Daphnia pulex: one gene and its partner. The protein of the gene in region 1 binds, or shares a complex with, the protein of each later gene. Links are inferred from orthologs where the notes say so. Each region holds a gene or a part of one and is shown in the gene's direction. Other genes may lie near its edges.

The links.
Region 2: nuclear export mediator factor NEMF-like (region 1) and transcription factor 25-like share a complex: the UniProt entries of both Homo sapiens proteins name them as parts of the ribosome quality control complex. The link is inferred for Daphnia pulex from reciprocal best matches to the Homo sapiens genes NEMF and TCF25.

What each region holds. Positions count from the first base shown.
Region 1 is NC_060026.1:6,925,879-6,928,227, forward strand, and holds the end of nuclear export mediator factor NEMF-like, read left to right. Parts: intron 1-66; coding exon 67-261; intron 262-323; coding exon 324-457; intron 458-516; coding exon 517-911; intron 912-976; coding exon 977-1,193; intron 1,194-1,247; coding exon 1,248-1,410; intron 1,411-1,478; coding exon 1,479-1,677; 3' UTR 1,678-1,732; downstream 1,733-2,349. UniProt on the Homo sapiens protein: Key component of the ribosome quality control complex (RQC), a ribosome-associated complex that mediates the extraction of incompletely synthesized nascent chains from stalled ribosomes as well as their ubiquitin-mediated proteasomal degradation.
Region 2 is NC_060022.1:854,566-857,630, reverse strand, and holds the end of transcription factor 25-like, read left to right. Parts: intron 1-1,771; coding exon 1,772-1,918; intron 1,919-1,983; coding exon 1,984-2,088; 3' UTR 2,089-2,269; downstream 2,270-3,065. UniProt on the Homo sapiens protein: Component of the ribosome quality control complex (RQC), a ribosome-associated complex that mediates ubiquitination and extraction of incompletely synthesized nascent chains for proteasomal degradation.

The sequences.
Region 1 (2,349 bases):
CGAATAGCTTAAATGATTTTTACACCCAATTGTTCTAATTCTACATTTCTCAATGCATTATTCAAGTGCTGCATGGGAAGCCAAAGTAATGACTACAGCTTGGTGGGTTGAGAGTTCGCAAGTCAGCAAGACTGCTCCATCAGGAGAATATTTAACAACAGGATCTTTCATGATTAGAGGAAAGAAAAATTTTCTCCCTCCTTTACCTATCGTTCTTGGATTCGGACTTCTTTTTCGGTTGGAAGAAAGCAGTATTGCAAGGTAACAAGCAACTAAAATTGTTCTTGCGTTATGAACTTTTCTTATTTTAAATTCGTTAAAAGGCACTTGAATGATCGGAAGCCTAAAGCACTGGATGATGAATCACCTATTTTGGACACCGAAACCGTGGATGAGCCTGTTTCGTGTTCAAGTGACTCTGAAAGTGATGGAGATGAAAAAAATGATTATGCTAAATGTAAAAAAATTAGAAAAATTCATATATATTTGTGAATGTGACTTAATTTTATGTTACAGCGATAGAAAATGCCCGTGCTTTGCTTAGCTTATCTCGTGTTACCGACAACGCAGAAGTGGCCTTCCCCGATACTGTTGTAGATATGAGCACATCATCAGGAAACCGTAACAAAATTAAAGCTCTGAACGAAGATGAATCGTACACCATAATTGGAGATGTACTGACCATAAACAAAACTCAAAGAGATGGCAAAAAAGTAGAAGTAAAAGAGGAACCAATCAAGTCAAACCAGTCGTCTAAGAAAATGACAGAGTCGATTACTCAAGAAACGGAAGGTGAGAAAAATCAACAACCGACTTCGAAGCGGGGACAAAAAGGAAAAATGAAGAAAATAAAAGAAAAGTACAAGGATCAGGATGAAGATGAAAGACAACTCAAGATGGAGCTTTTACAGGTATTTCTATAATTAACTTTTTTTTTTCAAAAAGAAATCTTTCTTATGTATTTAAAAAATGTTAGTCCGCTGGTCCCGCTAGAGACAAAGGAAAGAACAAGAACAAGAAAAAAGGAAAGAATACTGAAACGAAGAAAGTTGTCTTCTCAAAGACAACCGTCCCAGGATTGAAAAAAGAAGAAATCCTCGTAGAGACAGAGGCAGTTCCAGTAAAAAGTGATGAGACGCCAGCCACTCAACAGCCAGCAACGGATCGGCAGTTGGCAACAGAACAGATCGTACTACTAATATTACTTTTATAAAGCATAACAATGGAATTCAATTAATTATTACTTAAGGAGGAAAATGCTGAAGGAGACGGCATAGATGAGGATGTTGATCAGCCCGTTATCACAGACACTGATATTTTGAACGCAATGACAGGAATTCCTCAACTTGAAGATGAATTACTTTATGTCATCCCGGTTGTAGCACCGTATTCTACTTTGATGCCCTACAAGTATTGATAGCAGAAGAATTACCATTATAATTTTTTATTTTCTAACAATATCTGTTTGCCCTTCAAAGATATAAGGTAAAAATCCTACCAGGACAAACTAAAAGAGGAAAGGCATCCAAGACGGCAATGTCGGTTTTCTTATCGGATAAAACTGCGACCAACAGGGAAAGGGATCTTATTAAGAGCTTGAAAGATCAAGATGTTGGACGTAATTTCCCTGGGCGAGTCAAGTTAGCTATACCCCAGTCTCTGAAGCCAAAAAAATAATTGTTACGACGCGAAATTTACTTTTCAAAAAGAATACACATTTTTGTCATTTTGATCGAATTTGTATTTCAAAGAAATAAATCGCCTGTCGGAATGGAAAAGAAATTTTTTTTTTAAATTGTTTTACAGATTTTTCAAGCGTAATAGTCTGGGAGCTGGGCGACCAAAAAATGTTTTTTCTTTAGCAAAAGGTTTGAAGCTAAAATATGGTTAGGGGGGGTATGACACACACGAAAAGCCAAGTCTGTCGACTGGCGGCCGGGGCGTTCAAGCGTGACGCGATCCCGAAGTCGGCGGGAACCGTAAAAAAATCAACTTTGTTTAGCAAGCCCAAATTTTCCCTAGAAAGCAAGTTAACATTATGTTGATCAATAATCCCGCAAGACAGACGTCAAATTACGGGACTATAATACCAACAGACCATCTTAAAAATTAATAAAACCGTAAATTTTTTCATTTTAGTTTAGAAAATCCAATTTTTACATTAAAAAATAGAGCAACATTTGATTTATAATAATCCCGGTAGACAGACGTCGATATCTGAGCCCTTGGGGGCACCAGACGTCGGTGTGTAACGGTTTTTCACGAACTTTCAGTCGTTATTTGATACCGGCAACGCTGTTTCGGATACCGGCAATGCTGTATCAAAGGCGCTTATTTTTAAATAGCTTG
Region 2 (3,065 bases), on another chromosome or scaffold:
AGTCTGCCTTCAATGAAATAAGATCAGAATGGCCATTTTGGTATTTTAGTTCAATTGGGTAGCACTTTTTTGGCGCTCAAGTGCCACGCCTTGAAAATTCTGATACCAACGGGCGTTTCAACCAGGAAATAGAGCACAGCACATTTTAGCTGTAAATTGGCGACCTCGATTTTGTCCAGAATATCGTAATGGATTTGTTCTAGTTTCAGTTTATTGGCGCCAACTTCAACGAAGAATAGTCTTTTTTGTTGGGACAATTTTGTATTATTTGAAAAAAAAAAGATCCGTTGTTTCGTTTACAATGCACGCGTGAAAACATTCACAGCTGGCGTCCAGCTCGACTCTCACTTCAGCACACCTGTTTGATCAGTGAGAGGCGAAAAGAATAGGAATCGAGGAGTGGATAACATGTATAGCCTTGGTCGTTCGGCTCGCTCGAATATGCAGACATTGCTCAGCAAGTTCCGGGAGAGAGTGGACGTGCTTGCAGACGGTGCTTGAATTCAACTTTCTTGTAGACTTCACCTTGTGAGTTGCCAAAATGTTCAAGTTTTTGTTAGCCTCTGCCTTGCTGTGCGTCAGCTTTGTCAACACTGCTGGGGTAATCATTTTGCATAACAATTAATTATTGTCAATTAATTTCAGATTTTTAATTTTAATTGGCTCATATATTTAAAGTAAAACATTGTTTAATAATTTTCTTGTTTTTCTTAATTTATAAGATTTGTTATTTTAAGTGTTGTAAAAAAATTGTGTAATATTTTCCTTGCAAGTTGGCACGCCCCTTTTTCTCGTTTAACCTTAAAATTGTAAAAACAAAACAACACCTAAGAAAAACATAAGAGGAAAGAAATAATTAAAAAAAGAAAAAAAAGCTCCGGGGAGAGGCAAGGCTCATGGACCCAAGGTCAATAGACTGCGCCATCCCCGCTGGAAATCATGCGGAGGTATTGAAAACTACCTTGACGCCAGAATTTCAGGGAAGTGATAGAAATTGTATAGTAGGCAACTATTTTGCTCGAAGAATTTCATCAATCTCGCACGTCGCATTCCGGCTGAACCTCAAATATTTGTTGGGTTTTATTCTTTTTGTTTTGTCACACAGCTGAAACTTTAAAAATGATTTTCTCTGCCATTCCATCCTCGCATAGCTCAATTTATCTAGTTGACAGTTTGGATTTTAATTTCTTACTCGTGAGTCGTGACTGTGCCTTCATAATGTTTTGATGATTTAATAGCTCGGAAATAGTGGACGAACGAATCTGGACGTCTACTACGAGTCCTTGTGTCCCGACAGCCGGGCCTTCTTGGTCAATCAGTTGGCGCCGCAATGGAAAAGTCTCTCCTCTTTCGTCAACCTCAGGCTGATCCCTTTTGGCAAAGCAAGCGTATGTCCTATGTCCCGTTATTATTATTTCTTTGTTGCAATCAGAAATTGCCTGTTTATACAATGAACTTGACAATTGTTTGTAGTTTTCCCAAAACTCATCGGGTGGATGGTCCTTCAAGTGTCAACACGGTTCGGCTGAGTGCACTGGAAATATCCTGCACGCCTGCGGTATCAAATACAGTAAAGACAACACTCAGGTATCTCTTTCGAAATGTACATGTGGGTTTCATAAAAGCTTGGGAAACTAAATTCTATTTCAATAATAAGGCGCTGAACTACGCATCGTGTCTGATGAGAGCACCAACTTCTGGAGCTCAGGTTAGTACGGGATTCTCCGAATGAAAATTGAAGAAATTTTATAAATATTTCCATTTCATATAGTGCGCCGAATTAGCCGGTTTGGACTTTACACCGATTGACACCTGCACGAAGACTAGCGAGGGCCAAGAATTGGCTGTGGCGCATGGAACGGAAACTTTAACTCTGCAACCTACTCTCACTTTTGTCCCGTGGGTTGTTTATGATAAGGTGAAAATTACTATTAACTTTAATAATATTTCCAACTGATTATTAATTTTGGGGGTATTTTACAGGTGTTTGATGATGGCAAGCAATGGAGTAGTCTTTCCAATCTAAGATCTGTTGCTTGCAATCATAACGGATTTAACGCTCCGTCTTGCCTTTCCAATGTTCTCTAGGTGATCCGTCTAGATGATGAGCAAACCCATCCCCGTTGGGGATTGTGAAGCATAAAAATCGACATTCCATTTATTCGAATATTGTTATTCCGTCCAAATTTTAGTTAACTTCAATGCTGGGTACTGAAGTAATGTATCAAAATGTAACATTTTGTAATACATTTGTTTTCGATAGGCCCTACATTATAAATACAAGACTCACTTGAAAGTTAACTCTTAAAAGAAAGCACCGATTTCCGAATTATTTTTATATTGGTATTCATTTTGCTTTGAAAGGTGGTCTGTTTTCGACACGGTGACCTTCATTGTGCAAGTTTTTATGAAATATTTTATACTATTATTATGCAAATAGGTTTTCACAATGAGCCAAAAATTAAAGAAACATTTATGACTATATAATGGACCTGATTTTTGACTGCTTAGGTTCATCGGGTTCAAATGATGCAGGATCAAATGAAAGATGAACCCATTATGAAGATGAATAGTCTGGCGTCGTGTTACACCGCTAACATCGCAACGGAAAATGAGCAACTATTCTAAATAGATTTCGTGGATGAAAAAAAAAATGTGAATAATTTATGTTACGTTAAAATAAATTTGAATATTCTGATCAGGTCTCGCCGCTGTACGATAATTGAAGACCGAAAAAAAATGTACTGATAGCTTTGCCAAGTGGCGAGTATAAGGGCAACAACCAAAATTATAAAAGAACGTCAGAAAGTGAACATGTTCCCCTGTCGTTTTAATTGCTCCCTAATTGGGAATTCTCTCCTCTGTTTTAATTGAGACTGTCTGACTGGTTTTGTTACTAACTACGTGATAACGCTTTCTACCGCAAACATTTGATTGTTATATAATTTTACGTTATTGGCTAATATTTTGTTGCTATAGGAATGCAAGTATGCGAATTGCAACTATACTTAAATGACACACATTTAATGAAACTGTGTGTACATTTTGCAAGTGAACAAGTTTTT